Ovis aries: one gene and its partners. The protein of the gene in region 3 interacts with the protein of the main gene of each other region in a pairwise test. Links are inferred from orthologs where the notes say so. Each region holds a gene or a part of one and is shown on either strand. Other genes may lie near its edges.

Region 1 (3,646 bases), on a different chromosome or scaffold from region 3:
AGACGTGAAGGACTCTGCCAACTACACGTGCGTGGCCATGTCCAGCCTGGGCGTCATCGAGGCTGTGGCCCAGATCACAGTGAAATGTAAGCAGGGGTCGTGGGGGAGGCAAGTCATCCCTGCACCTCAGGTGTAGGTGGGGCATAATGGTGGAAAAGCTTCTGAGTCACTTTTCTGGCCTCAGTCACTCCTGGCTGTGAACAGGACAGTCAACATACTAATGACAAATTATTGTGGGCTGGGCCCCATGGAATGAGACCCAATCTTGTTCTACTGAGCTCACAGTCCAAAGTGGATGATACCATGTAGCCTGGCAGTTATATGATGCATGCTGATTAGGGCAGTGACAGGGGCCATGGAGCACCGCTCAGACCCCCAGAATAAAGGTGCCAATTCCCAGGAAAGCTAAGTCAGAGGAAGACTGAAAGTTGAACAGGAATGAGCCAAAACAGATGGAGAACATATCTAAGAAAAGGAAATAGCCTGTGCAAAACTCAGAGAGATGGAGCACTGGGGAGTAGGGAGGGATTACTGACTCTCTTGATGTCTCAAGTTTGTGGTGAAACTCAGAGCAGGATGCCCCCAGATATTTTTTCTAGCTTTGGAACAGGGGCCAGCAGACTACAGTCCATGGACTGAATCTGGCCCTCCACTTGTTTTTATAAATAAAGTTTTATTGACACCTGCCCATTTGCTCACAGCTGGCTGGTGGCAGCTTTTGGGCTACCGTGACAGAGCTTAGTAACTCTTAGCACGGAAGCAGCCACCAGCAATACATAAGCCGTATACCTTGCCAATACTTGCTATAGATGGTAGGCTGCTGCTGCTGCTGCTAAGTCACTTCAGTCATGTCCAACTCTGTGCGACCCCACAGACGGCAGCCCACCAGGCTCCCCTGTCCCTGGGATTCTCCAGGCAAGAACACTGGAGTGGGGTGCCATTTCCTTCTCCAATGCATGAAAGTGAAAAGTGAAAGTGAAGTCGCTCAGTCGTGTCTGACTCTGTGCCAACCCATGGACTGCAGCCTACCAGGCTCCTCTGTCCATGGGATTTTCCAGGCAAGAGTACTGGAGTAGGGTGCCACTGCCTTCTCCAGATGGTAGGCTAGGGGTCGTTAAGACAGGTGTTACCACCAAAGAAATTATGGCTCTGAGAGGGCAGTCAAGTGACTAAAAGTTACACAGCCTTGAGGGTTCACAGCCAGTATGCCTGACATGTGACCTTGCCTCCCACCCACAGCTCTCCCCAAAGCCCCTGGGACTCCCGTGGTGACAGAGAACACAGCCACCAGCATCACCATCACGTGGGACTCAGGCAACCCAGACCCCGTGTCCTACTATGTCATCGAATATAAATCCAAGAGTCAGGATGGGCCGTACCAGATCAAAGAGGACATCACCACCACGCGTTACAGCATTGGTGGTCTGAGCCCCAACTCGGAGTATGAGATCTGGGTGTCGGCCGTCAACTCTATCGGCCAGGGTCCGCCCAGCGAGTCGGTGGTCACCCGCACCGGCGAGCAGGCCCCCGCCAGCGCGCCGAGGAACGTGCAGGCGCGCATGCTCAGTGCCACCACCATGATCATCCAGTGGGAGGAGCCGGTGGAACCCAATGGCCTGATCCGGGGCTATCGGATCTATTACACCATGGAGCCCGAGCACCCCGTGGGCAACTGGCAGAAGCACAACGTGGACGACAGCCTGCTGACCACCGTGGGCAGCCTTCTGGAGGACGAAACATACACGGTGCGCGTGCTGGCCTTCACCTCCGTGGGCGACGGGCCCCTCTCGGACCCCATCCAGGTCAAGACTCAGCAGGGAGGTGAGTTGCGTACGTGATGCACGACTTCTGGGGGATGGGAGGACAGAAGGATTTGGGACCCACGCCCCACGAGGCAGTAGGAGGCGGCCATGCAGTGATGTGCCTCTGAGCACACAGAGGAGGCCGTCTTACCTGGAAGCCACCACGTAGTTTATTTGGCCTTTTTCAAGTATTTTCACACTAGCGTCGCAATGCAGGAGGGTGTCCTAGAAAACCCAGATTTCTGGCCACCCTTGGAAAAGCCCATCTGGCAAGCCCACACACAGGGCTACAGTTGGTAGCGATGCGTTTGAGAAACGGGGCGTGGCCTCCGCTGGCCTCCATCTCCTTTGTTATGCCCCTCCCTCATCCATCTGTGAGTTTGAGAACCTCCGTTTAGTACTCTCGCTAGAGTGATCCCTACCCACTGGATCACTGAAATAACAGAAAGTATGTTAACCCAAAGTGCTGAAGGCAGGTCTCTCACAGCGCGGGCGAAGGACTGGGGGTAGGGGTGTACAGCACGTAGGTGCGTGGGCCCCAGCTCTCTATGGGTTTCTGGGCTTGGGAACCTCGAGTCCAGGGAGAGTCAGGCCACTGATCAAGCAAAGGGACAGGAGGTTTGGAATTCTGCTGCCGTAGAGCAGACACAGGGTGGATCCATATTTTCAGTTATCGGCCCCACCAATTTTCTGTTGAATTGAGGGGAAGAGGGTGGATGCTGGGGAGCGTTGAAAACGGGATTTTTAAAATGTTTTCCCATTGGCAGCAGAGAGGATGGGGGAGTTGGGGCGGGCAGCTGACAACAACAGGCCACAGGGAGCTATCCCGGGAAAAGAAGAGAAATGAGAACAGTGGAGAACATTCTGGGAGCATCCAGAACCTCATAACCCTTCTTGTTAGGGCAGTGATAAGCTTTAAGGAGCTCTTTTGGGGGAGAATGGGAACCTCGAAGGTTAGGGACCCTATGCTGGTGGACCCCCTCCCCAGCCTCTCCTTGATGATACCAGCCCTCTCGCCTCTCGCTCGCAGTGCCCGGCCAGCCCATGAACTTCCGGGCCGAGGCCAAGTCAGAGACGAGCATCGGGCTTTCCTGGAGCCCCCCGCGGCAGGAGAGCATCATCAAATACGAGCTCCTCTACCGGGAAGGCGACCACGGCAGAGAGGTGCGTGGGTGGCGTGGGGGAGGGGATGGCACTCGCCCCCTCTCCCCTCCCCAGGCACCCGCTCTGGGCAGCTCTCCTGTCTTGGGACTAGGTGCCTGAATATCTCTCTTCCTCCTTCTCTTTGCCCCGTCCCTTACTAAATTTTCCACCTCTCTCTTCTCCATCTCCATCACTCTGTGGGTCTGTGTCTATCTCTCTCCCTGATGTCTGTCTGTCTGTCTGTCTGTCTCTCTCCCCATCCGGGTCTCTCTCCTCGCCCCTCCCCCAGGTCGCGAGGACCTTCGACCCGGCCACGGCCTTCGTGGTGGATGACCTGAAACCCAACACGGAGTACGCCTTTCGCCTGGCGGCGCGCTCCCCGCAGGGCCTGGGCGCCTTCACCTCGGTGGTGCGGCAGCGCACGCTGCAGTCCAGTAGGTGTCTCTCGGACCCCGCCCTGACCTGCGGGGGGGACCTGGCCGGCGCCTGTGCACTGACCCGGGCGGGGCCTGCACAAGGGTGGGAGGCACCTTGGCCCATCCCACCTCTCTCCTCCACCTCGGGCGCACGAGAATCCTCGCTGAGCCCCAGTTCCCCCGCCGCTGCAGTGAGGGGCTCGCCCGTGGACCCCGCAGGCCCCAGTTTCTCCATCTCCCCTGGAGACAGCCATGGCTGGTTTGACTGATGGCACCTTCTCTCTC
Region 2 (3,746 bases), on a different chromosome or scaffold from region 3:
AGCCAAATAAGGCAAGTGGATGGCTCACGGCTTTCTGTTTGTATCCACAATGCTAACAGCCCGTTTAACTAGAGGGTACCTGGATGGCTCTCTGTTGCACTATTACAAACAGGATAATTATTATTTTCTTTAAGCATCAACGTAGTGACATTGCTCTCTAGCAAGAAAGACAGCATTTAAAAAAAAAAAAAAAAACTGTTGCCATAGTTGTGTGCCCTGATCAGACATGAACGATAAAAGCTTTCTGCTAAATTTATTCCAGCCTGCCCACCCATCCTCTTCCCCAGCTCCAGTCTCCTCTTCTAGCTTCGCTCAGGGGATCTAAGTTCCTCTCCCGAGTCTGTGGTACACCACTTTACTGGCACTGGCCGCTCTACGGTGGGGTACTGAGCAGGAGGGGAAGAAATGACTCCCCCAACGCCCGCCCGTGTCCTCTCAACAATGAGACTGTTTCCCAGCAACTCTTTTGCAGTCTCCCCCGCCCCAACACAACCCAACCCCCTGCTTTCTCAACTACCACTTCGGCAGAGCCCAATGTCTCCTTCAGTCCCGTCAGTCAGGCTGCCACACATCCCAACTGACAGCTGCACCCTGTGTCTGATATACAGAACACCCCGGGCGCCTCACAGCCTCGCCCCCCTACCCTACCTCGTACTAACGGGGATTCTTCCCAAGCATCCACTGTGCTGTAAATTAAAACTCTGCCCCTTGCATTTTTAAACCCTCCACCCCCCTAACCCTTACCACCAGCTTCCCTCCAAATCAGAAAACCCAAAACACCTGTAAAATTAATCGAAAGCACGCGAACACCTGAAGCAGCGCAGGCGGGATCCACACCTGGGCAAGTCCTCTGTGGCTTTAGCGGTCGGGGATAGCCCGTGCCTGACATGGCCTCCTCTCCCCGCTCCGACCGCTTGACCGCCCCCCGCCCCCCGAGCCCTGGAATCCAGCCAAGGTCTCGGGGACGCAGGGTCAACCTGGTCCGCGTCGGGGCGGCTCGGGGGCGCGGCTCGTCTCCCCGCATCCCGCCCCAGCCAGCGCGCCTGCACCGCCGCCGCCGCCGCCGCCTCCCGGGTGGGCCCTCGGAACATCCCGCGCCGCGTCCTCCCCGCCCAGGCTCCCGCTCGCCCGCCCGCCGGAGCCCGGCCCGCGCCGCTGGCAGCCATCAAGTGGCTCGTTAAGGAAATGCAGGTGAGTGCGTGCGGCGGGGCGGCTGCCGCCAGAGACGTGGGGTGTGTGCCTGTCTGTTCGAGCGGGAGCAGGAGGGAGCGCGAGCGAGCGGGCCAGCGCGGGAGCGACCGGGAGAGGATCGCCGCCTCGGCTCCCCGCCCCGCCGCGCCCGCAGCCGGCAGCCCGAGCGCGTGGGGCAGCGCCTCGCCCTGACGGCGGACGGTCCCTCGGCTTCTCCGCCAGCCGCTCGTCGGCCTCCCCCGCCCCGCGCTCCCTCCCAGCCCGAGCCCTCCTGCTGCTCCTCCTCCTCAGCCTCCTCCCTCCTCGCGCCGCTGACAGGCAGCCTCCGCGGGGAGAGTGCAGGTACTTTGCCTTCAGAATAATTTGCAGGACCCCAGCGAGCTTGCGGAGCGCCCAGATTTTGTCCTGCCCTCGCCCCCTCCCTCCCGAAAAGAAGATCCCACTTTTGAAACAAGCAGAACCCCCGAAGCAGAGGCAGCAGACCAAAGCCAGAGCCCGACGGGCGGCTGTGCATGTGCTGTCCTTTCTTGCAGTTTATTCTGGGCCTGTGTGGAATAGAAAGACAATTCTTTATTTGACTGGAAGGAGAGAAAAGAGAAGACTCCTCAGGGTTTCCAAGGAAGACTGGAGCGACTGCTTTAGTAAGTAAACTGTGCTTCCGTATTTCTTGTCTTAAAGTGAGGCATATGCTGAATGAATGCTTCTCCCCCGATGGTATGGGCGGGCAGTTTGTTCGTTTTACCAGGGAACAAGTTGACTTATATAACTTCACTAGTTCTTAATTGAGAAGTGGTTTGCTAAGCATTCTTTTTTTTTTTTTTTTTTTTAAGAACATTGCATTGAGCAGACTTCAGTGTGGGCAACCATACTGGAGATCTGTTTTTTAAACGCTCATTGTTCATGAGCTATGGAAGCTTGGTGTTTGAAACGCTGGTTGGTTCTAAGATTTAAGGATGGGTTCCTAGGGAGAAAAAAAAAAAAAAAAAAAACCTTGAGAATTCTAACCCTACTGGTACCACCCCCCCTACCCCCCCCCCCCCACTGCTACCTTCAACCTCAGTCTTAATCCACACCAACTCCCATCCTTCACTGACTTCTCTTGGTTGCTTGTTTTATCTTTAGTTCTGAAGAGAGCTTGTTTAAAAAAAAAAAAAATGGGTCAAGGGAAAGTTAATATAGGTGGTTTGAAAGACTGGAATAAAAGCCTGTTGAGTTTTGTTTTTTTTTTTTTTTTTTAATGCTTGTAGATGAATGAGATATGGAGGAAAATCTGAGAAATAGCCTCGTTTAGAAAAAAATGCATGGAATTAATTTGGAAAAGGAATCTGAAAAATGTTTTGGAGAGGGCAGAAGCTGAGGCTGTGACTTTGACACAGCAGGTTATAAACTGTGACAGGGCTCAGCAGCCTGTGACAGGTTTAAGGTGTCTCCTAGGGCTGAATATCTCTGCATCAAAAACTTTTGCAGGCAGTATTCCTCTTGGGGTTAACATCACCATGTCAGTAGCTGCAGCATTTCTGTAAAAACAAGTAGGACAATCTTCCTTTCTCTGTGAAAGGGTTAACGATATCTTAAAATTAAAAAAAAAAAAGATACATTTGGCAATATTTTGTGATATCTAAATAGAATCTTTGTGTTATATCAGGACGAATATAGTTGAGTCAGTTTGTTTTGCAGAAGAGGGAGAGAATCAATAACATTTCAGCAGTCTTTTTTTTTTTCTTTATCACTGCCAAATGGATCCTGAATCTAATTCTTCTTGCATTGTTACATATACAGTAGATACAGTAGAATTACAGTTTAGTTACAACAAAGCTGATTAACAAATTCAAAGTTCTTTGACATAACGCTCATACTGACTAGTATAGAATACTGATTAGAAAAAGTTTGTTTTTTCTTTAACTTTCAATTTTCCATGTTGGTATAAAATACACTTTTCTAATCATTTTAAGAGTTAAAAACCAGACTGAAAACTAAAACCACTTGTCTCACAGATTTTATTTCTAAGAAAACACCGTACTATCGAATAATACCTAAGGGCTTTCTTATATTTAATTGATGAAAAAAACACTTACTTTTTTATTTACTCGTTATTATATAAAAGTAGCTATATTCTTTTGACACTGAATTTTAAAAATTGAAGAGTGAACTAATGATCACTGATTTTAAAAAGGGAAAGATCTTTCAGAACTGTTATTATCCAATGTCAAAAGCTCTGAATATCTTGAGACATAAGTTTTTAGGATAATGAAATAACAGTAGGACAGTTGATGAATTTGTTGACATGAAGTTACCATACATGGAAATCACTTGATAAAGACATCATTATTTCTTATATATTACTTTATTTTCTATCCAAATGTTTTTTCTTATATATATTACTGCTCTCAGTTGCCACTTCTACCATTAGTTTAAAGTGAATTTAAATAATTTAAAATAAAGCCCCAGGTTGATCAGATTTGGATTATAGCAAATGACCTCTACTCATCTGTGACCTCACATATCTAAAAGAATATCTGATGTTTGAAAAAATAAATATTGAAAATAAAAGGTGA
Region 3 (3,646 bases):
GTGCTTAGGGGATCCTCGCGGTCCAGGGCCCCCGCCCAGCCTTCTAGAGAAAAGGGATATCATTGTAGACAAAGGCAGAGCCAGAAACTGGCCCTGTGTCTGAAACCATGGCAGGTGGAGTTCAAGGGGAGCACGTGCCCTCTGGGACGGATGGGGGACATGGCCAGCCTTGCCCGCAGAGCTCCTCCAGGGTGAGGGCCTGGTGTTGTCAGAGGGGGAGACCCCCTGCTCCCGGGGTGGATGAGATGCGTGTGAGGAGGGCTGTTTGGACAGTGGAGGAAGAGGAGGTGGACACAGCCTCTTGCTCTGCAGACTGGGCAACGAGGAGGGTGCTGGTGCTGGGACCCGAAGGCCTGGCGCAGTTGGGGGTTCAGAGGGAGAAGCCTGGTCACCAGTCCCCTGCATGTCAGTGAGAGAGAAGAGGAGGCAGCCGGGGAGTAGTAGGGGCCGCTGTGCTCTGAAGACGGGGACCGCAGCGGCTGGGCAAGGGAGGGGTGTCTCCAGGAGGCAGCTTTCCAGGGGTCAGTGACTCGGCGGCACAGGTGGGGCCTCAGGGCTGGCTTCCGGGCAGGGTAGGCTGGCCCAGGCCGGGGGAGTGGGGACTGAAGCCTGGATCAGAGGCAGGGTGGGCTCAGTGTATTTGGCAGGACCTCCCAGTGGAATTGGTCACCTTGTCTCTGAGACCTTCTCCCGGAGGAAAGAGCCTCAGGTGAGGAGGGGGAGAGCGATGGAGGCTGCACTCTGGGAGGGGACTGGGAGGTGATGGTGGGGGGCGTCTCAACCCAGAGGCCTCTGTGGCCTTCAGAGGACCCGCGAGTGTCCACAGTCCCAAGCAGGACTCTGTCGTAGCTTCCACCTGACTCCCAAGTGTGCTGCGGTGGAAGTTGAGCAGAGAAAGGAGCGGTTCCATCAGGAGGGAGGGGAGATGGGAGGGAAGACAGGTGTGGCTCGGGGAGGTTCCAGACTTGCATCTCCTGGGAAACACCGTGCGGCTCAGGTCCGAGCTGTGGGTCCGAGGGCTTTGTGCCGTGGGCGGTCGAGGTGCCGTCAGAAGTGCTGAGAGCGGTGCAGACAGTGTTCCAGGGAGACGGGTGTTTGTGGTCCATGGACGTCACACGGGAGGTGGAGGGCAGAGCAGGCACCGGCCAGAGGGGGTGTGGGTGCCCAGGAGCTGGCAGAGCAGGTGCAGCCCCGCCCCGGGACCTGAGGGTGGGCTCTGGGGGACCGCAGCCCCGAGCACCGGGCAGCCAGCCGCACCCTCGCCTTAGCGCTGCCTTCCCTACATACGGGAGCTGCCCAGCTGGTGGCGCTGAGACCTGAGTGTTCGCAGGGCAGCAGGTGGGCCTGCTGCTGTTGGAGCCAGGAGGGCAGAGCCCGCCCCACGGCCCCTTTTCTGTGAAATTGCCAATTTTCCAGATCGACAGGCTCTGGCTTGACTGACAGAGTGAGCTCTCTTTTCTCCTAACAGCATCCTTCTTTCCCGTGTGTTCCAGCCGACCGCACCTGGGCAGCGTCCCGGACTTCAGGTTCCCTGTGGCCGACGGGCCGGCAGACTCCTTCAGCGGCGCGGCGGTGCTGCGGCGCCCCCAGAAAGGCCGGCTGGCAGCGCTGCGCGACGAGCCGTCCAAGGCAAGGACCCCCCCACCCCACCCCTGCCACCCCGTGCCTATCCCTGGTGGGCACCTTGTGAGGCCCCCGCCCCCGACACTGTGGTCCTGACACGGTTTTGGAACCAAGTGTTGATAGATCGCTTTACGTCTTCGAATTTTCCTTTTTCTGGCTAAGAGTTTACAAGGCATGTTTTTTTTTTTTTTTTTTTTTTTAAAGAACCAATTTTGATAACGTGTGGCTTCCTGTGAGGCCCGGCACAGTACTAATTAGCACAGTTTTGAAACCGTCCTACGAGTGAATGGATCCACACGTGCCTCATGTTTTAGTGAGAAGATTCTCGTTGGAAGGTTAAGCGCCTTCGTATTTTCGCCTCATTCATGGCGTGTGTTTTTTCGTATGTCTCTGTGTTTTGAGCGCCCACGTTCAGCGGGAAGCTAGTTTAGACCAGACGTCGTCGGAACGAGGACTCCAGCAGTGACTTAAAAACCGTGCGTGTTCTTTATCCACTGCTGCGTAACGAACCACTGCAGAGCTCGGTAACCTCGCAGTGAGCAGGCCACAGCCCACAGCTCCTGTCCCTCTCCCAGGCGGGCCTGACTCAGGGCCTCCTGAGGGCGCAGATTAGGGAAGGCTCCCCGGGGCTGGATGGTAGGCTTTCAGACTCAGCTGGCTGCTGGGGACAGGCCCAGGTCCCTGCTGTGCAGATCTCTGTGTGGCCTGGCTTTCCTCGGAACGCCCTCTGAGAGTGAGAGCGTAGGGTGTAGCCCGGGGTCTTTCATGCCCTGGTTCGGAAGCCGCACACCTTCACTTCTGTTTTCGAGCATGAGCTGTGAAGTCCTGCCTCGCTCGGGCTGAGCAGGAGTTGCCCCTTCTGCCTCTTGAAGGGAGGAGGATGGAAGGATTTGTGGACCCCTTTTTAAACCCGCACAGCCTGTCAGACAGCAATGAGCAGGGAAAGGAGACCAGAGTGCCCGAGTTGTCCGAGGAGGAGGGGACGATCGTGTGTGAACAGGGGTGGCCAACGAGGTGACACCAGGAGGGTGACCTTGAACCAGAGACCTGGAGGCGGGAAGAGAAGCCGCCACTCGGAGATAGATCAAGGGTCGAGTCAACCGGCAGGGACAAGGGAGAGAGCGGCCTGGATCAGGGAGGACCCAGGCTCAGGCCTGAGCAGCTCGAGGCCAGAGCCTGTTTGCTACGGTGAGGAGGGCTGCCAGGCAGGAGCTCAGAGCCGGGCCTCTGCCCTGTGGAGGTGGACAGGCCTGTCCAGGGGACGAGTCTGGTCAGCAGCTGAGTGTTCCAGCCTGCATCCGGGAGAGGACTCAACTCAGCTCAAGGTGGACTGGGGTTGCGGGCATGCAGATGGTGTTTAAAGGCATGAGCAAGATAAAGTCGCCAGGCAGGTGCCTGTGGAGAGAGATGAGGTGCAAGGGTAGAGCCGGGGGCCACCCCACGTTCCGAGGTTGAGAAGGGCACAAGGGACTGAGGACGAGCCCCAGGGAGGGTGGGGCCTGGAGCTGAGGGAGAGACACGCTGGGCGGGTGGGGAGGGGGTTTGGTAACACGGGGTCCTTGGAGCCCCCGGGAGCTGCCCTGTGGGGTGGGCCCCCCGCCTGCTTGCAGAGACTGGGCAGGGAGAGGGACAGTAGAGGCCGCTCCCGGGGAGCTCTCAGAGACCCGCGGTGGGCGCTGCAGGCAGCCCTGGAGGAGCAATCTGCTGGTTCCCGTGGTGCGATTTTAAGCAGGAAGAGGGAGAGGACGTGCTGCCCGGGCTGACGGGGGTGAACCTGTAGGCAGAGAAGGGTGTGAGCTGTGGGAGGGGGCGGGCGGCATGGGGCCCAGCGGGCACTCTCTGTGCGTCCCTGATTACAGAGCTGCCTTGCGATGCGAGAGGCTGTCCCCCAGGACAGCCCGAGTGCCTGCGCCCCGGGAGGAGAGTGCGGGGGGCTCGCCCTCCCGTCCCCTGGCTGCCCGTGCTCGCTCCTGTCTGTGGGTGCTCAGACCAGCCTGCAAACGGAGGGCTGGGAACCCGCGAG

What was found.
Region 1: the proteins of PPFIA1 (region 3) and PTPRS interact in a two-hybrid assay, tested with the Homo sapiens proteins (2 studies listed by BioGRID). The link is inferred for Ovis aries from reciprocal best matches to the Homo sapiens genes PPFIA1 and PTPRS.
Region 2: the proteins of PPFIA1 (region 3) and PTPRD interact in a two-hybrid assay, tested with the Homo sapiens proteins (2 studies listed by BioGRID). The link is inferred for Ovis aries from reciprocal best matches to the Homo sapiens genes PPFIA1 and PTPRD.

Annotation. Positions count from the first base shown.
Region 1 is NC_056058.1:16,829,075-16,832,720, forward strand, and holds part of PTPRS (receptor-type tyrosine-protein phosphatase S), read left to right. Parts: coding exon 1-86; intron 87-1,239; coding exon 1,240-1,821; intron 1,822-2,832; coding exon 2,833-2,966; intron 2,967-3,234; coding exon 3,235-3,379; intron 3,380-3,646. UniProt on the Homo sapiens protein: Cell surface receptor that binds to glycosaminoglycans, including chondroitin sulfate proteoglycans and heparan sulfate proteoglycan.
Region 2 is NC_056055.1:78,724,161-78,727,906, reverse strand, and holds the start of PTPRD (receptor-type tyrosine-protein phosphatase delta), read left to right. Parts: upstream 1-1,480; 5' UTR 1,481-1,832; intron 1,833-3,746.
Region 3 is NC_056074.1:43,863,976-43,867,621, forward strand, and holds part of PPFIA1 (liprin-alpha-1), read left to right. Parts: intron 1-1,493; coding exon 1,494-1,629; intron 1,630-3,646. UniProt on the Homo sapiens protein: May regulate the disassembly of focal adhesions. May localize receptor-like tyrosine phosphatases type 2A at specific sites on the plasma membrane, possibly regulating their interaction with the extracellular environment and their association with substrates.